Linked DNA regions of Styela clava. The protein of the gene in region 1 purifies or fractionates together with the protein of each later gene. This does not show direct contact. Links are inferred from orthologs where the notes say so. Each region holds a gene or a part of one and is shown in the gene's direction. Other genes may lie near its edges.

Region 1 (7,617 bases):
CATTTAATTACTGTTGCCTTATGGTTAGTTTGCTCTCTTTATGGTAATTTCTAAGATATCATACAGAATATTTTTTGTCAGATAACGCTCTTTACTACGTGTTCAGGGCCTTGCTCAGAGCGAGCATATGGAACCCTACTAAAGTACTGTTACTTTCAATTTTTTTGTTGCATTATCATAATTTATAAAATATCAGTTCTGAATTATTCTTTGCTAGATTTTATAACTGATCCTGTTTTTCTCTTAAATTCTAGATTTGTTTTTAGCTTTAGTTTTTAAAAATAATTCAACCAAGCATGTCCGAGACAGAACCACGAAAGGCAGTGGAGCATGAAGAAAAGGTGGAGCCAGAGGCTCAAGAGGTAGAAACAGAACCCAAGGCAGAGCTTACACAAAAAGTTGACCAATCAGAAACAGAGCAGAGCGTCGCAGATGAATCGACAATTGTGGATTCTTCAATAAATGCGGAAAAATCAGACGCAATTGTGGGCGATGATGAACAAAGTGACAGTGATTCTGATGAGTCCCTTCCTCCCGGGCTTTTAGAGCGGCCTGTTGAAATTCTAGAGGCAAAAAGAGAGCGAAAGAAAATTAAACGTTTCACGTACGATGACGAGGCAACTAGTCCCGCTGTTGACAAGAAAAAGAATGTTGAAATACCGAAAGGCAGTGGGATCCGCATCGGTAATCACCCTCGTGTGGAATATCAACTACAACGTAACTCTGCAGAGGATTTAAAAATTATTCACAAATTTTTTTATAACGTACAAGGCACACATCTCGCATGCAAGAAAAATATTCGAGAATTCTGCGGCTTCAACATACAAAAAGGTACCCCAGAGTACGAGAAAAAGGAAGAGTTTATCGGCAAATTCACAGTCGATAATTTGAAATGGGCCATGAGTGTCTGCGACGTTCCAAGCATTAAAGGGAATAAAGAAGAATTGATCGATGCTTTCATGGCTTGGTGTCTCTGTCCGAAACCGCAGGATAAACCGGTACCGGAAAAAAAGAAAAAGAAGGATCCCACACAGAAAAAAAAGAGAACCAAAAAAATTAAACGAAGTGCGAATGCTGTTGAAAATGGGGACGCAACTTCCGATGGTGCTACGCCAGTAAAAAAGCGCAAGAAAAAAGAAATCGCAGACGAAAAAAAGAAAAAAACGCCTTTGAAAATACCTGCTAAAAAGTCAACTCCAAATAAAAAAGCGAAAATTAAGATTACAAAACCGAAATCAAAGTCGAAAAAAACGTCGGGGATGGATGATGATACATCAGATGACGAGCCGCTCATGCATAAACAGAAAACGCCGCCGTCAAACGCAGAAGTCCGTAAGTTCATCGAAAATTGTCTTCAAGATGCTGATCTCGGAGCTTTGACAATGAAAGCTGTCATCTTGCAAGTTTACGAACAATACCCAGAGTTCGACCTCACAGACAAAAAAGGGTTCATAAAAGAAACCGTGAAAAAAATAATATCTTGAGCTGAGGGAGAAGGTTGCCATGGTTACGACCCAATATTGAAGAACTAATGAGACTGCACTGTTTCTCGTGAAACAGCCTAAAAACTTTTCAAAAACTTCACATCAAATATTTGATTAGTCATGCTTTACTACTAGTGATGAATCATCACTTCCTAATTTTGACAATTTTGTATGAAAATTTAAAACTGTTTGCTTGCAATATCCAGTGGAGGATATTTTTTATTGAGGGGGGTGGGGGCAGTATTTTTGACACAAGAATTACATCAAGCCTAGTTGAATAATCATATATGCATCTCAATCATTTTGTATTTGGAATTTTACTTCAAATAACTCGATCAAAAATGAATTAAACATTTAGAAACATCAAAATAGGTCTATTTAGAAAAGTAATTTTCTGATTTTAGGAATAAGTCAGAAGTTTTATTTGATAATTAGCCATGTTGATCAATTGACATCTGATAGTGAGATATGAAAAATAAATCAGAATGAACTTTTTTCAGTTACTCTCTACTCATTACTAATAATTAATACCAGTTTGGGTGGTGTTAGGAATTCCAGATTCCGCTGGAATTTTGAATGGGGGGGGGGGGGGGGTGGATAACTGGGAATAGTCTATCAGAACATTAATACTTTATCGTTGCAGTAAAACCATTTTAGCTCACGTCACGTATTAAAGTTTTGAGAAAATTTCATATTTCAATCTGTACAAGAAAACCTACATATTGACATGACGCACTAACTAAAGTAAAACCTAAAACAGGTACAGGTTTAAACCCAGACCTAAAGATGGCCCATGGTTTTCTATTGATAGATGATCAAAAAATATATTTCTTAAAAATATGGCATCTGTACTTTTGTATTACTGCGGCAATATGATTTCAAAAGCCCGTGGACTCACTATATGTATATTATGGCTATCAATTGCTCGACTTTTATTATTGTTTTGTTTTTTAATTTTAGTGAATCATTTTTTTTTGTTATAGAAATTGCTCATTTTGGTAAAGTAAAAATTCCATATTCAGAAACTATACCATAAAGCAGAGAAAATTTAAAAAATAATTCTTGCTTTGTTCTTATTAATGTTGTTCAAATGGAATTTCAAGGTAAACCTAATAGAAAAAAATATATTTCATGCATTCAGTAACTGTAATTACAAGTTTTCTATAAAATTCATGATTTCTGCTCAGAATCTATATTTGAAATAATTAAAACTGACCCAAAAAGAGGGAAATTGAAAACTTGAGCTACTTGGTTTTCTTGGGACCAACCACTTATCCTTCTTCTATACTTTTACACTGGTGGACCCATATAATGCAAGAGTGAACTAGACAAGAGTCTTTTATCTTACTTATACAAATATATTTCAAACGAAAGTTACAGACAATGTCATTATTTTTTGTATTTTGTAAAGTTTGGAAAAATCATGCTCTTGTTACATGTTTTAAGATAAAGAATCATCTCAGTTTTCGTTATATTGTTCAAAATTTTATTGATATGAATTTGTGATAGTTTTTATGTGTTATTGATTTCTCGCTTGTCTGTTCTACCGATTACTATCATTTGTGGCATTTGAAGTCAGACTCACAGACGCAGCCAGGACTTTCAATCTCCTTTACCTATGTTAATAAGCGCCTTGTCAACGATGATTGTATAATAAAGAATCTGTTTATACTAGCCACACATTTACAGACCGATTCGCTTTTTGATCATCTGGAATTTTCAAGAAGGGCTTTTGAAACTTCTAGCTGCGCCATTTTTATTTTATTTTTCAAGTTTAATGGGAATTTATTTGTGAACGTGTTTCAGTAATTTTTTTACAAAGCCTTGTTCAGGACTCATGACACTCTTGCTAATTATGTGTTTGATTATCTCTCTTTTTTAGTTTTTGTTCTATGGACAGCCAGTGTTTAACGATTTTATAAACAAATTGCATGAAAACTCATTATCTTCAACAGAGAATGTTTCAAAGTTGAATAAACATAGATTTTGACTGTATTCTGCTAGTGTTCACGATTTTATAAACAAATGGCAAAATTTAAAGTTGATTGTCTGAACTAGTGGTTCTTGACCTTTTTCCATTAGTGGCGCATTTTTGTTGCACAAACTTCTGTGGTCTAACTTTTTTATGCAAGAGAAAAATGAAAAATATTTGAGTGCAAAAAAATACACTTTCGCCCTAATAATTAGAATGGAAATTCTAATGAATGAATAATCAGCATCATCATTCATTGCTGCTAGAATTAAAATTGAACTATAGTGACACATGTTAAACGGGTTAAATTTCTGCTCATTATTAAATAGGTATTTTAAGATAGTGCGCCAGACAAATTCAAAAAAGGAGGCCCAGCTTTATGAAGAGAACCACTGCTATACCCGTTAGGATTTGATATCGCAAAATGATAATTTTGCGAATTTAAATACTCTACATCAGGGGATCTCAACCTTTTTTCTGTCAAGTACCCCCGAGTCACGAAACAATCAATGCGAACCCCCGGAAATCAGACACCGAACAAAGTTGTGATATATTGACTAACAATTTGTTGCAACACCAATTTATTGACCTTATGTAACTTAAATAAATCGTCTTGTTGATAGTATTGCCCTTGCCGTCTGCCTAACTAATGAATTTATAAAATCTTTCCAAAGTTTCAATAAGCATAATCACTTCTCCAATGCTCCCAGCTTTAGAGATTTCACAGTTTGCATGCAAAACCTTGAATTTCACATTGTTGCGCCACAATCACAACAACGCAACATCAGGGAAAATCTACCATCAATCAAATTGGCATCTAGTTTCAATGGACACGACACGCATTTTCCTAGGGTAGTAATAAAGGATATTGAAAAGGATCATCACACAAAAACTCGACTGCCATCCAAGTACTCCTGGAAATCTTCTCGTGAACCCCAGGTTGAGAACCCCTGCCCTACATAATTCAGCTTCAGTTCACCCTGGGATTTATACTTTGTTATTTTGAATGTAATTGAATCATTATTGTGTTTTTGTAAAAATGTCCGATTTTATACTTTCACCAAGGTTAAAATGTTTTAAAAAGTCTCGTGATTGTTGCATTTTAAAACGAAAATGTACCTTTTTTTATAGATTTTATCATAAAATACCTAAAAAGGAAGATATTTTTGGATATAATCACAGAAACGAAGAAAAAAGATTTGGAAATTAACATTACTGAAAAAAATACTTTTTTTGTGCTTGCAACTGAATGAGTGGATTCTGTCAATTTATTGTGTTGTGATTTTCCTCCGTATTCCCATATATTTTAAATGGAGTCACCTAAAGAAAATCTACCGATGCGTGACAGGCGGCGTTTTTATACTGAAAGTCCGAAAGAAAAACCGACAAGGTATTCATCTCGTCGTGGTGATACGAAAGAAAATGAACTCTTGGATTTGAGAAGCCCGATACGACCTACAAATGACCTTGACTCTGATAAAAGGGGGAGAAGATGGTCACAGTCCAGGTATATATTAATTTTTCAATTTTTTTTTTGTGCGAGACAATGATTTGGTTTCTGCGAGACTAACTACTTATCCTTCTTCTATGCTTTTGTGCCGGCGGATCCGTCTGAGTGCAAGGATACTGTAGCGAGAATAACTATGGATATTTTGAGTGATTCAATAGCCTTGCTGCACATTAACAGAAACATATTTGTGTTATTACTTATCGATTTTAATCAGTAAGTATGTTGATAGGTATCTGTTTGTCTGTTAGATGCACGCGATATCTCACGAAAGCGAGATTGAATCTGCTCCAGATTTTGCATGTGCATTCATCTTATCTCGGACCAGAAGCCTATTGATTTTGGGCGAATTATGTCGTATAATTAGCGAGTAATTAATTAATTAGTGATGGGACACAATGTGTCACTATGGAGTAAGAGCGCTGTTTTGGGGGATCCCCTAACTTTCCATCGATAAGTCTTCGGTCTCTGACCAATATTCTCTTTTTTTCTTATTGACGCAATTTTCTGGAACATCCACTCAGAAGGGAATCCACCTTTAGCAAAATTTCGTGAAAATAACCACTGAAATGTCGTGAACTATTAAAAAAATAGCTCAAAGTAATGTCATATGCACTCTCAGAAGTTAAGAGTCATCTATAAACAAAATTAAAGGCAAAAATGATCCGGCTAAATTATATATAAGTTTATCACCATTAAATTTCTGAAATATAAATTCCGACTCCCAATACTTTAAAATAAATTTTGCGAATTATATCTAAAATTTCATACTACTATTCAGAGGTGAGACAGTCCACATAATTCTGCCAAGAAATATACTTTTTGATTCAACAGTAAGAAATACACGAGAGATTTATTAAAAATAAATTTTGCGGAATATTTTTTAAATTTTATACTGGTTTTCAAACCTGTAAAAGTCAACATCATTCCGCCAATCACGATACTTGTAAATTCGAAGGTGAAGATTGAAAAAAAGATTTTCACATTAAATAAATTAGGCAGAATATTTCTTGAATTTTATACTGCTTTTCATACCTATGTCAGTCGTCATAATTCCGCCAAGAAAATTTTTTTTACGCACTATTCCTAAAATTTTATATTGCTTTTCTTAATCATGGCGGTTAACATAATTCCGCCATAATAATTCACATTCAACAGTAAACAATACACAACCAGAGATTTATTGAATGAACTTTGGGGAACATTTCCCGAATTGTATGCTTGCTTTTCTTACCTGTGACGATATTCATAATTACGCCAAAATAAATTTTTACGGAATATTCCTCGAATTTTATACTGCTTTTCTTACCTGTGATAATAGTCATAATTCTGTCTAAATAAATTTAGATTCAACAGTAAAGAATACACAAGCAAAGACGAAGAGACGAGGGTTCCTTTGCGGAAACGAGCCACAGATTCAGACGATGATTGCTTGACGGGTGAGTTTATTGGCCAAGTTCAGGAATGTTCAACTTTTCGGTGAACCATATAACCAACTTGGTTATATCTAGCTTGGGCCACACAAAAAAATTGGATGTTCCATGTAGCCAAAGAATAAAAAAATTCTCACAATGCAAAATTTGATTTATTTATTATTTTAGTGAGACACTTGAAATTTTCAGAACCCCCCAAGACCCCCCCCCCCCCCCTTTGAAAATTTGAAAATGACTTGTCGTGACTGGTTGCGGGATTCCTGTTGCTTACCCCTGGCCTAGTGTGTTAAAGCAAATTATGTGATAGACCTCACATCCCAAGAATGTTTTTAACTGAAATTTTCAACTCAACGTAAATCAAATTTTGAGCAAAAAAAGTGCACACGGTCCTTTTTCGTTTGTCTGTTTGAATTTGTTGGTCGGTCAACTTGATACTATTTTAGGTTTTGTCAAAGATTTTGTTTTTGAAATTCTGAGTGAGTGCCCGTAATTTTGCTTAGAGCTGAGTCTCCTTTACTTCTAAGTGAGTGCCTGTTACTTTGCTCAGAGACGAGTCTCCTTTACTTCTGAGTGAGTGCCTGTAACTTTGCTTAGAGATGAGTCTCCTTTACTTCTAAGTGAGTGCCTGTTACTTTGCTCAGAGACGAGTCTCCTTTACTTCTGAGTGAGTGCACGTAACTTTGCTCAGAGATGAGTCTCCTTTACTCCTGAGTGAGTGCCTGTAACTTTGCTTAGAGATGAGTCTCCTTTACTTCTAAGTGAGTGCCTGTTACTTTGCACAGAGATGAGTCTCCTTTACTTCTAAGTGAGTGCCTGTTACTTTGCTTAGAGATGAGTCTCCTTTACTTCTGAGACAGTACTCATAACTTTGCTCAGAGACGAGTCTCCTTTACTTCTGAATGAGTTCTCGTAATTTTACTCAGAGATGAGTCATTTTCACTTCTGAGTAAGAGTGCTTGTAATTCCTTTAAAAAAATACGATAGAAAAACAGACCGAACTTCTCAGATTTGAAATCCATATTCCTAACTTCCTTCTATTTAGTTGAAGAATCTACAAGTTCCTGGGTCAACATGATGGAGAAATCAGAGCGCGAGACTGCGGAAGTCAAAACATATAAAAAGAAATTGAAATATTCTGGCAGCTCAGATGGAAACGAAATTGAAGATGATGAGGTAAGACCTTCGTTTAGTGACACTGTCAAAAATTTTTGGACAGAGTTA
Region 2 (5,298 bases), on another chromosome or scaffold:
TTCGAATGTATTCGAATATCAAAGTATTCGAATACCAATTTGGCTGATTTTCGAATAATTACGAATAGTAGCCACTTTTCGCCCTAAACGTGGTGTTTCGTTTTAACGGGAATCTTCAAACGACTTTTTACGCTGTCTCACGTATTGTAATGACGATGAAATAGAATCGGCACTTTGATTGTTTATATTCTGTGAGACCATACGTCTCATAGTGTTGCGACACATTTGCACGTTTCCGTGGGTGGACATTGCCGTCATTCGTGTACGTGGCTTTTAATTTACAAATTCATTTCCATTACGTCGAAAAATTGAGAAAGTATGTTTATTTTATTTCTATGTGTCCTGCTTATTATTCGCATGAGTCTTCTCAAGCATGATTTGTGTAACCTTATATTTGGGTCTTAGGGTCTGCCAATCATGATATTTAATCGCAGGCTGGTTATCGTTACTTTAAAGAGAAACACGGCCACCGAGATAAAGTGATTTGTGACCCTTTCGTTTTGCCGATTCAGCAGAACAGGACAGGGATAGGAAAACATAGCTGTGAAATAACCCATGGACGTACAGTGTAGTACTTATCACATTCCAAAATTATTTTGACATTCGGGTTAATATGTTGTCTAAAATGATTGCCGCTTTACGACTTGAATTTACCACTCATTTGTTAAAAATAGTTAATTCTGTGAGTATGATTCTACCAAACTAACATGATCTGGTCCTTAACATATAAAATTATTAGCGCATATCAGCATTACTGAACAACAGGGACACAATTTGTCTACCCGTCTTATTGGAGGCCTATATGGAAAAACCCCTTTTATGAGTGCTAAAAATAGACATCGTCCTATTTGCCATGTGGACTTATTAGCCGGGAAATACGGTATTTATAGCCGTCATTGTTACGATATCTAATAAATTGTCACAAGTTGGAAAAACAAGGTCGATTTATTAGAAAATAATTTCTGGCAAATAATTCTGATAACGATAGTTATAAGTATCGATCCTTTACCAGGATGATTTTTTGTTGCGCAAAATAATCCAATCCATGACTGGTACCAGCATTTAAAATGTCATGCCGTATTAATTTAATTCTGTTCAACGTAACTCATGGTTGTATCGACAATCTGTGGACATAAAATGTGTGGTAAACTGACCGATATTATTAAATATTGATTCCTATTTTTATATTGATAAAATAATGAAAGTATTAATACCAAATACAACGGGTATTTGTGGACATGAAATACGTGGTAAACTGCGCAATCATAATTTATTTCGGATTCGTATTTACAAAATAATAAAACTATTATAATTCTAAAATGCAACGGCGATCTGTGGCCTTAAAATGTGTGGTGAACTGCCCGATTTACCAACATTTGAGTTATGATAATAGAATTGAATTAACACGGTAGGGCATTTTAATTAACCAATGGCAACCATTATCCAAATTAGTTCCCAAGAGCGGGATAAAGTATAAATTCTTTTTCCGACTTGTGACAATTTTTCGTGAGTACGAAAACTACCTATGAGTGGTAAACTACCCGATTATAAATAGTTTTTGATTCCTATTTTCATATTTATGAAATAATAAAAGTATTATTACTCAAACATACAACGGCGATCTGCGGACTTAAAATGTGTGGTAAAGTTCCCGAATATAATTAATTTTTGATTCCTATTTTCATATTTATGAAATAATAAAAGTATTATTACTCAAACATACAACGGCGATCTGCGGACTTAAAATGTGTGGTAAAGTTCCCGAATATGATTAATTTTTGATTCGTATTTTTGTATTCACGAAAAAATTGTTACAAGTCGGAAAAATACCTCATACTTTATCCCGCTTTTTGACAAATAATTTGGATAATGGTTGGTATTTAAAAGTATGGGCGTTTTACTAGGATGATTTTGTGTTGCGCAAATATTCAAATCCATCATCGATACCACTATTGTCGTATTAATTTAATTCTGTTAACATGACTCATGGTATATAAAATATATACTGCAATAATCTGCAAATATGAAATGCCTGGTAATTTGGCTAGGTTGTAACGTTAGATAGCAGTTATTCCATTGCTTATTGTATGGAAATTCCTACATACATTTAGATAAGCTTCAATTAGTGGATTTTATTTTCAAAGTATTCGAAATTTCATATTCGGAAAAAATAATTTCGAATGTATTCGAAATAGTGAACTATTCGATATTGGCCAACCCTGGTAACTACACCTCAAAAAGTATCCTTTGGAGCAAATGATTTTGATATATTTACAGAGATGTAACATCGAAGTAATATATGTAACAATATGCATAGAGATAGTATATGTAAGGAATGGCAGAAACACTGGACCAGGTAAAGAACGTTCACAAGTTCAACACTGATTGGCAATTTTAGTTTCAACGTTATCAAGTTGAATAATAATCATTATTCCATTTACTCATTAGGTCAAGAAGGATGATGGACACAAAGATTCTTCAGATTTGAAAACAAGTCAAAATATTATTGCGAAAAAGGCAACAAGGAGACCTAAACCATTTTTTCTATAGTCTTGGATGTTGTCAATGTGTATAATACAATTAACCAATATATTGTAATTTTTTCACCAGCAATAATTGTAAAAAGCAGGTTCCAGAAGTTATAAATTATTCTGTATATGCTTATGCGCAAGCATTTTATCTTTCAATTTAATCTCATTTGATTTTACTTCTATTCACTTTCTTTTTGTGCAAGTTCTGTACAATTTTCAAGTAAACTTTCAAAACAATAATACACTCATATAAAATATGTTGTTACAATTGTTTTTGAATCTCCCATATTTCTAATTGTTGAGTCTGATTGTATTGGCAGAACTGACTTATGTCTTCCATATCAATTCTTTGGACAGACAATGAAGATTGAAATGTATTCTCGAGTTCGCTCAGTTTGCATAAAAAATGATTGTACTCTTTGCAAGTGATATCCAAGTCCTCCAAAGTGAAGTTGAGTCTCTTCTCTGTAGAGATGTACACTTTTACAATTGAAGGTCGGCAACCTTCCTTGGTGTATGTGTCCCCATTCAGCAAGATTTGGAGAGTTTGAAAAAACGCATTTGTGATATCGTTGTCATAAATTACATCACATGCCATAATTATGTCAGGTTTGGGTATGCACAGTGATTTTATTGAAGTGGGCTTGTGCCAGTTCAGTTCCCTAATTTCGAAGCAGTGGGGAGGACTTTGAAAGATGTTTTGGTTTGCGTGATAATTCATTTCACAGAGACCCAAAATGTTCTCTCCAACGTCCGTGAGAGTGATTTTATTGGTTAATGTCCCTGCAACAATACCAGTCAGGCCAACGCCTGCCCCAAGTTCCAAAATCTGTTTATTGCGGAATAACTGAACGTTGTCTAACATGAAATCTATCATCCCAAGCGCTCCCATCCATACTTGTAAGCCAACGTCGGCAAGATGTGTTTCCATTGCATGGTGTATACGAAAATTGAGCGTTTGGTTCTGCTTGTCAAAGTTAGCTGCGCTTCTAGAAACAATCAAATCGCCGTCATCGTCATGGATCGAATCAGTTATTCCGAAAGATTTTTCAGTTCGCTCACTAACAATCTGTATCAAGCATCCAGGTAATTTTATGTGAAAATCGACAAGGTGGATTGCATATTCACCATGTTTCTTATTCAAAACTATTTGGGAATCTTTATCTCGATTTAACTGGACGTCGGAGAGTATCAACTCGTCCGCACAAGCGCACATCTTGCTTCTGTCACTCGGTGGCTCACAAAGCTGGTCTACGATTTCGCACTCGTGCAGAGCTGAAATCAGCTTTTCGCCCGATTTGCAGCTGCTGCTATGATTAACAAAGTGATTTTCTGCGTACTGTTGCTTTCAGTATTATTATTGGGGAAGCCAGGCTATGGAGCATAATATGTTAGAACAGCTTGGATTTAACAGGAAGAACAGAGATGCTGTAAGTAAAGCCCTGGGTGGCTGGAACACGAGCGGCAATAACCAACAAGATATCAGACCCCTAGTTGAAATTATTGTACTGCAAGCAATTTCAGATGTAAAATATGGAAGTAATGCTGCAAAACTGTGCAGCATATTTGTAGAAAATGAAGGCAAAATATCAAATGATACACGATTTCGGAACATTTTGCTCACAAAACTCCAAAGAGAGTACACCAACATCAGAACGACTGAAGAACATAATGAAGCCAGATTGATAGCATTTGTGACCTTTTTGAGTAGCATTTTTCACCACATCCGTATTGATGGGAGGGCACTTGTTGCTTTAGTAACTCCAGTGTTCGAGTGTTTGGCTTCTTTGGCAAGCGTGGCGAAGCAGAGCAATAAAAGAGAGGAAATTATTCAATGTTTGGTTATGCAAATACAACTTCATGGAGAGGAATTGGAAGGATTGAATGAGAAGAAAATGGCTGAACTATTTTGTATAATTCGCGAATTGTTTTTGTCAGAAACCACATCACAGCTTTCAAGATTGCTGCTGCTTGAAATTATTGAACTTCGAGCTGGAAACTGGAAATTGTCTTCTGATGCTAATACGTATTATTATGATACAAACAGCGTCTAATGTTATTATGCTTTATTTTTATATACGATTCTCAATGATACCTTATTTTTTTATGTTATTTCATTTAAACAAAATAATATATACCTATATTACATAAATAATTATACATAATCATAGTATCATTCAATTGCATACATTTTCATATTTATGTTGGGAGAATTAATTGATACTAACCGGTTATTATTTTTATAATTTCTGGTATCAAGGTACAAGATATTTAATTCATATAAGCTATGGCAGAACTCAATATTGGTAAACAATGCAGTTTACTTCAATGTCAGCGACTTGATTTCCTACCATTTGAATGTGATGGATGCTCTCAGATATTTTGTTTGGATCACAAGGGTAGAACTGCACATAGCTGTTCAGATGTCAACTATATTAAAGAAGGTTCCTCATTGACTAGAGTTACTCCCCTTCGTTCTTATAGTTGTTCACTTGAGGAATGCAATCAGAGCGATCTCGTACAAGTGGAATGTAATCTCTGTGGGAAGCATTTCTGTTTGAAGCATCGCCTTCCAGAGGATCATAAATGTCATCAATTAAAATCTGAACCACATCGAAAAGCTGGTATGCAAACATTTCAAACTTCTTCTACTAATCCAAAAAAGTCTGTATGTGATAATTCCAAAAAAAAGTCTGTTAGTAAGAAGAATCAAAAACTGTCTGCTAAGGTTGCTCTTATGAAACTGAAACAAAAGTCTGTTGGAGAT
Region 3 (7,762 bases), on another chromosome or scaffold:
ATGTTCACTTTAAATAGGATTCCAACCTATTTAGGCAGTTGGATTTAAAAATACTTTCCATATCAATCAGAATGACCAACCCGAACTGATAATCTTGATTCGACATACCACTTCGAGTGTCACCGCTATTTGTGTAACAACTTTACGTATGCGTTGCAACGAAAGCTTTTATACACACAATATCGCATCTAAATTTTATATGAGTGATCAAATTTATGATACGTTTTAGATTGTTCAGTGGTCAAGATTTTTATTATTTGTCAAATAAAAAAATTGTAAGCAATCGCTATCATTATCTCTGTTATCATTGAAATTGAATATTTCTTACATCAAAGGTCGCCTAACTAGTATTTCTTATTCATTTTTATTTATTTGTTAACTTGTCTCAGGTTCCAAGGTGAAATTGTTCATTAAATACCATAAGATTGATTCTGCATTATTTTAGCCTACCGCATGACAAAAATATTGAATCTGAGGGACCTCTTCACTGTGCGAACGAAATGGTTGACTCTCACAGTCGCATATATTCTATTGCGAATATCAGAATGCCTTAATCCACTTTTTTACAACCTGTCATCCCGGTAAGTTTTTTCTATGCTTAAAAAATAAAGCCATTCTGTAGAGTTCGAACGGACCAGATCAAGCCTAACCTGAAATTCAAAATTTTATCGGGGTAGAACATTATGATAGACTATCTAATTCTTAAAAGTGGTTATTTCCTGCATTCCTGGTATCACCTGACAAAAAGTTGCAGATCGCAAACAGTGTTTATATTTCTTACCATCCAATTTCGGCGGTTATGAATTAGCAGAATGAAATTGAAAACTAAATTTCTTATTCATACAGCCCACTGAGAAAAAGAACTAAACGTTTTCTGAAAATACAGAAAAACTACGAATCGTCAGACAGCATCAACGTATCAGAAACAAAAGAAGAAAATGTCAGAAAAACAAGCGTTACCGTTGTGTAAATTAAACACCACCGGATATAAGCTGGGTGTCAAATATGAAATGTACACGGGAGTCACAACCAACTCATATAACCCAGATATGGCGATAAGAATGTAGCCCTTTGATGAGATAGAATTGAATGTGAATGTATTATTCATTTTATAGCAATGTGTTGTTTATATGTCTTGTTCGTGTGTATATAATATATCTGCTTCGTCGAATTGACCCGAGTGTATATTCTTATGACTTATGAAAACACATCAGAAACTCTTAATTTCAGTGCAGGAATGAACGTACTAAAATATGATCAATACCGTAGCCAGCCAAATTCTTATTGTGGAAAAGGGGGCAAACTTTTGTCTTGTACAATGACGTAATACGAACAATGCTTACTCGTGTCTTTTGCTCAGAACAAGGCTAGATAAAGCAGCCACTGATATCTAACGATGTTTTGACTCTGCACAACCTTACTTCGCTGTCGAAGGTATCCAAGCTAGGTAAGCGTGAGTTTCATCTATCGCAGTTGGTTCATTTGGAGAATGAAATATTGATGGTGAGGAAACGTCGGGTTTTTGGCCAATCGTTCGAGATTAGAACAAACTGGTGTTGAAAAATACGTGGAATTGATGTCTCGGTGTAAATGCCACAAAATTGCGGTTCCCAAAGTAGAAGTCGCGAGCAGTAAAAATGGGTCGCATTACGGGGATTCAATCTGTCAAAACAAACTTTCTCTTTTCATTTTACAATGTATATATGTATGTATGTTTGTTTGCCTCAAAAATGTAACAATATTTGCATAATAATTAAACGGTATAACAGAGACGGGATACATGTTCAAGACCTTACTGGCCTAAGACACAGATGTGCGACATAGGATAGGATTTACATATTTATCCCGGGAGAGAGGAAAGTCGATAAGACGACTTAATCATAGTCCGAACCACGGTCTCTCGTCCGGTTACCATTTCAGGTCGGGTATGGGATTGGTTAGCCAGTTATTTGTTTTCGGAAGCATGGACTTGATGGCGGAGGAGGCGTAACGGACGAGCGGTTACGTGAACCACCCTACGGCGGCGAGGAGTCCAGCAATTCTCTCGCACATAATCATCCCCGCATGGGATTCGGACCTGCAAACCCACGCAAGGTAATCAGAGATGCGGTGGCAAGCGTATTCCTAACGCTTAGCACGATGCGCCACATTGCCGAGCCCATGTACCCCAACAAGTTCTTTCCATTTCATCATTATCGCAACATGTGGCTCCGAGCAGGTTTGAAGTTGATGGAAAAATGGCTTCTACAATACTGAAGGTTGCCGAGTGCCGACCCGTAGTTTATGCCAATAATTATTCATACCCTTCACCGGTTTTAGTCATTGACGTGTACGGCTTCAGCTAATTCTTAAGATTGTGATATTCCAAGAACTCCACAAGTCCATGCATCTGAAAACAAAAAATAACTGATTCCATAAACCACATGGACTGTTAACCGGACGAGATTCCATGATTCGCCATATGATTAAACCGTCTTATCGGCTTTCCTCTCCCCCAGGATAAATATGTAAATCTTATCCATTCATGGACTTCCATTTGTGACATAATTTTTTTCCCAGATGGTACATTTTGCGTCGTTTATACCTAACATTTAGAGACTGTGACCAGTAACTAAACTTAGGCTAGAAAGACATTGCAAATAATATTAATAAAGAAGAAGAAGACATTCGCATTCTAATAAAATGATGATGACATAATTGCGCTTTTCCATAATTCGCGATAACCCCCATAAAACCAGAAACGCCAGAAAAACTCATAACCCGCGGGCAATAAAACCACGGCTTGCTTACCTCGCCCTCGGCACGTGCTCTGTTATCATCAATCTATATTTCATTTATATAATTGTTGAATATGTAGTGATGTAATAAAAATGCATTGTGTCGTCATTGAGGCTATGCTAAATTTGAATTTTTCGAGTTATAAACAATTTCGAGTCTCAATCTCAAGTACGTTTCGTTCTTGCTCGAGAATGGTGAAGTCATTCAGCGTATGTTTATGGAAGTGTACTTGCGCAACATTCTAAACCTCGTTTACACATTGCGTTTACACCATATGATCATGCAGTTGGATACTCTTCCATTAGGTGGTGTTTTTTAGTTGGACATTCTGCTGATATTTGCCAGAAGGTTACGGAACTTCCCCCAGTTTGTCAGATTTAACGTTATCTGTTAAACTGCGACCGGTGCCTATGCGAGCAGAAACCCCTACTGAATTAGGTAGTACCGGTACCGATACAGAATTAGCCTACGCGATGTTTTTAGTAGCCTATCACTTGCGACCTGGGCATTGCAGAAGATAACAGACAATTCTGTTCAGATACCGTAACTTAGAGACAAATGCTGAAAGGCCGTTCAGATTTAGGATTGATCCACGGTCAGGCGGTGCTCCTGTCCTGTTTGTGTTCGAAAACACAGATAAACATTACCGGTATATTAGTGGTATTAGGCACAGTACTGTATGGGAGGAAATTGCTTGTTTATCAGTTTATAGACTATGTTTTGACATACAGCAGTACAGACACTTCTGCACTTAGTACAGTAAACGAATCTATAAATTGATCAGCTGTCATCATCTTTAATAAGCCAATTAATATTGAAATAATTAAACAAAAGTGCCAAAAAGATGCACACAATACCGGTACCAGTATCCTTCTCTTGCTGTCTTGATATGTAGACTATGTATGTTTATTGGGTCTTATTACTTACGGTACTGAATAGAGCGCAGAAGAGATGGGGAAACATTTTCTTTCATTGTTTATTAGCTTTCGTGAAATTTTAAACAATTTGATGGGAAGCAGTAGCGGTATACAGTAGTACTGTAGTAGGGAATGATCACGAGTTTATATCATTAATCTTCAACATCTTTAAATAGCCTCACATGACGCACCCTAACCTACTGCGTTCAGGTTGTGCGCTAGCTTGGTGCACATGAAAGAAAAATGTTTCCCTCTCTTCTGCGCTGTTTTTCACGCACTTTCCCTCTCTTCTGCGCTGTTTCGCGCTCTATTCAGTAAGTACGGTAGTGAGACCGATGTTTATTTGCCTCAAAAATGTAACAATATCTGCATGATAACTAAACAGTAACAGATAATTAAACAGAAACAAAATCTCAATAAATATCTATCACAAACAGCGAAGTTTCAGAATAGTCTATTTCCTTGAAGAAGTTGCCTAAAACTCAGAAAGTAAAGATAAAAGACACAGTTCTCCCATTACAGCATTACAGCATTACAAAATGTCCCTATATTTAATTATTTGGAATCCGGTACTTTATTTCAATAAAAAATAATACTCTATTAATAGTCTCTGAAATGAGGGCGTCTGGCACTGCGGCAGATCACGGCATGTATCTATAATAATTTAACATGCTTCAGCCGCCAAAATTCTACTGTAAAATTTTTTTCCTCCATTAAATCTGATTTTTTGTTTCGAGGAATCGAATGGTAACGTTTTTAAATCACGCTTCCTTCCATTTTATTGCGCGGTGTCTGTTTGCCAATAGGGAGGCCCAGACTTCCTCATAAAGAAGAAGTCTGCACTCACTTCATTAGTACAGTAGTATAATTGATGTCTGGATGTAGAGTCTATTCTTGGAATAGGAGAACTGTGTCGTACTATTACTCGAACATATTACTCACAAAGCTACATGTTTGACTATCGATGGGTCTAAATTAGACCAGGTTTATTACTGGGAAGAACTAGACTGTTATTCTTTCCCATTCTGGTTATTTAAACGTTGCCATAAATTAGTTCAGTAAAAATTTGAATTTGAATCAGATATATACAGATAAAACTGAAATTGTGAAATAGCGAGGACAGTTTCTGATTGTAATGAGCAGCGTTGATGCATATGGGCCAAGTTCCCAAACTCTGACATTTTTGGACACAGAAGATGGCGATTTGACTGTTGGAGGAGATACCCAGGTGAGAGACGCTTGTTTGAAATTATTTTAAATATATCAAAACAACCGGAATCAACTGCACTTCACCTCTCAGGACACAGTACAACTTGAAAATTATTTTGTAATTGGTTACGGTCTGAATCAAGTGGATGGGGTGCAACTTATAACTCTGATACAGTTATAGGCATAAATATATAATTATAGACATATTTATTCAAGTTTTAATAAAACTAATACTTTGCTACTGTGAGTTGCTCTTATCAATTCATTGATTTAATCATGATTTAACTGTGTTTTTAAATACAGAATTGCTTAAAGTAAAAATTGCTACAGTATCACAAAGTAATATTCAAAAAAATTCTGTTATTCAGGCAAGTGAATATGAGTTCACAGACTTCACAATTCCATCCCAAACCCAGACGCAAACTCAGACACAGCAAAGTCAAGCAAGCCAACTTGATATTGCAGAGAACAGTCAGAGTCAGGTAACTCTTTATTCCATTATAAGTCATATGCTAAAAGTATTTTAACATGGTAATAAGTTGGGAGAATTATAACCAGAAATGACTGTGTTAATCTTGAAACAATGATGAAGTTTGCCTACGACTTCATACAAGAATAATTTTTCATTCAATTCTGCTCTTTTGTTATAATTTGTGATTTTGTTTAGCATTGGCTTGACAATGTGAGTGATCTCGTTTATATTTCAATTCGACAGAGTCATATGCAAACGATATGTTTGACAACTGCGTACTCGTGTTTTATAATCATCAATGAGCAGTGAACATTATACCAATACTATCAGGACTGCTTCTGGTAGAAGAACTCGAAATCAATTTCTCAATCTTTTTTTTGTGATTTCTCTCAACTACGAATTATCTAGATCAGGGTTGTCAAACCCGCAGACCAAATATTATCAAGTTTTATCTCCATTAAGGTTGGTGATGTAGATGGAGTCAATCACAATGAAGAAGTGGGGGATGGTGAAGATATTGGTGGATTACAAGAACATATTCATGTTGCCACCCAGGGGGTTGCTGATCTGAGATTTGAGGAAGAAGACGAAGAAGATACTTATTATACTAAGGATCTTCCCGAACATGCTTGCAGGTGAATTTTTTATTAACAAGCACATGATTAAAAAATAATTGAATGCTCGGAGCTTTTATTATTATTTTATCTGTTTTTGTTTCCTGATTTCAAACAGTGGGGATAATTTTATGAAAAAATTTTGTTTGTCAAGCATAGGCCTCATAGCGCCTAGTAATATATTTAATAAAATGATAGAAGTTTATGTTACTTACACATATTTCTTAGCAGCAATATCTACTAAATTTTGTGCCTGTGCCTCCTATGTGAAGAGAAACGATCACCCTGAATTAATCATAAAATACTGCATTTTGACATGAGTTAAATTCAGTTCATTAGTTCAATTCTTGCCAAATAATGATTTGATTATGCATATAAGCTTTGTTATTATTATGTAGGGTCAGCCTGCAGTACTGTTTAAATTTCATCATACAGACTGTTCGGTACAGACAGATTTTTAAAATTCATGTAATTAGCTTAATACTCCTACTCAGTGAAATAAGGTGAAAGAGGTTGCTCAAACACATCTGGGGCTAATATGATTGACAAATCATTAAGCTTTCTACCTAGATGCTGCTTATTAAACCCGCTTTCTCGTATTTTCGCATCTGTTCAAATGAGAAATATGAAAATGAAAAATAAGTTGTGGCCATCCTTGAGGTGCTATGAGAAAAATTCCAGGCAATTTTCGAGACTGCTGTATAAAAAGAAGCCTTTCATATTTATTAATATCATCATTTATTATTAAACTCACCATCACTATTTTCCTGAATATATATTCATATAAGAATTAGGTATATATCAAAAGGTTTGTCGCATTAACAACTGTAATTTTTAGGTATTGTGGAATTCATGATCCTAACTGTGTTGTGATGTGTAATACAACAAAGAAATGGTTTTGCAATGGCCGTGGAAATACTTCAGGAAGGTAACATGATATTTTATAAAATTATTTTTTCTTCGAATCATTGATTTGCAAGGGTTAATTACTAATTTCTGGTTACCCTCAGCCGTTTTTTTTTTAAATTTCAGTATTTGCTTAATGCTCCAGTTCGATCGTGATTTAACATACCATATCATCCAGGTTTAATAATAGACACTTGAGCAATACTTCAAAATCACCATATTTGATATTTATATTTTGTAAGAAATAAAATTTACTTTGTTTTGTCCATCTCAATTTTTATTTGTACAATTTATTTTACAGTTGTCCTTACTACTAGAAAAATGTCATACACAATAATTGCAATCAATTAGTGATTTTGAATGAGTTATTATTTCAGATTCACAATTGTTATGTGCAATCTCTGTTATGGAGTATAGATTTATCAGCTTATTATATTGATTTTATGCTTACTTTTTGCATTAATAATCTGTTGAAAAGTAGATTAGTTATTCTAATCAAATATGATATGAACAAGCAATCAATTTTTTTACTCTGATATTGTTTGTATTTGTTTTCTCTGAAGCGAGTATTAAGTGATAAATTGATTCAGATATTTCGAGTCCATTTGAAATTTTTGGTGTGCTATGTTGCAAAATATTATGAGTTTGTCATCTTACCCTTTACTGTCTTTAATAAATTGATCAAATAATTAAGGTTAAATTCAGGTATATTATTTTGGCTGTATAAGGCAGTGCCAGGGAATAAACTATCCCTGTGTTCAAAGGATATTAATGGTTTGAACAAAATCCAAATCAAAGATATTTTATGTAGCCTACTTCAATACAAGGATTTATATTATTGAAATCCATTTTTTGTACTAAAATTT

Evidence for each region. Proteins that work in one complex are often made in the same cells at the same time.
Region 2: the proteins of uncharacterized protein LOC120343829 (region 1) and MIF4G domain-containing protein B-like purify together in Homo sapiens (affinity purification with western blotting; 3 studies listed by BioGRID and IntAct, with this or other methods). This does not show direct contact. The link is inferred for Styela clava from reciprocal best matches to the Homo sapiens genes SLBP and MIF4GD.
Region 3: the proteins of uncharacterized protein LOC120343829 (region 1) and regulator of nonsense transcripts 1-like purify together in Homo sapiens (affinity purification with western blotting; 4 studies listed by BioGRID and IntAct, with this or other methods). This does not show direct contact. The link is inferred for Styela clava from reciprocal best matches to the Homo sapiens genes SLBP and UPF1.

Annotation. Positions count from the first base shown.
Region 1 is NC_135254.1:1,516,879-1,524,495, forward strand, and holds the start of uncharacterized protein LOC120343829, read left to right. Parts: upstream 1-4,601; 5' UTR 4,602-4,766; coding exon 4,767-4,963; intron 4,964-6,310; coding exon 6,311-6,402; intron 6,403-7,438; coding exon 7,439-7,569; intron 7,570-7,617. Other genes in the region: uncharacterized protein LOC120343828, read left to right, coding at 297-1,484. UniProt on the Homo sapiens protein: RNA-binding protein involved in the histone pre-mRNA processing.
Region 2 is NC_135262.1:16,893,043-16,898,340, forward strand, and holds MIF4G domain-containing protein B-like, read left to right. Parts: upstream 1-3,902; 5' UTR 3,903-3,907; coding exon 3,908-4,585; 3' UTR 4,586-4,791; downstream 4,792-5,298. Other genes in the region: RNA demethylase ALKBH5-like, read left to right, coding at 2,449-2,550; methyltransferase-like protein 22, read right to left, coding at 2,794-3,747; AN1-type zinc finger protein 1-like, read left to right, coding at 4,819-5,298. UniProt on the Homo sapiens protein: Functions in replication-dependent translation of histone mRNAs which differ from other eukaryotic mRNAs in that they do not end with a poly-A tail but a stem-loop. May participate in circularizing those mRNAs specifically enhancing their translation.
Region 3 is NC_135257.1:5,899,417-5,907,178, reverse strand, and holds the start of regulator of nonsense transcripts 1-like, read left to right. Parts: upstream 1-4,755; 5' UTR 4,756-4,830; coding exon 4,831-4,923; intron 4,924-5,272; coding exon 5,273-5,386; intron 5,387-5,838; coding exon 5,839-6,011; intron 6,012-6,828; coding exon 6,829-6,918; intron 6,919-7,762. Other genes in the region: growth hormone secretagogue receptor type 1-like, read left to right, coding at 446-581, 887-1,067. UniProt on the Homo sapiens protein: RNA-dependent helicase required for nonsense-mediated decay (NMD) of aberrant mRNAs containing premature stop codons and modulates the expression level of normal mRNAs.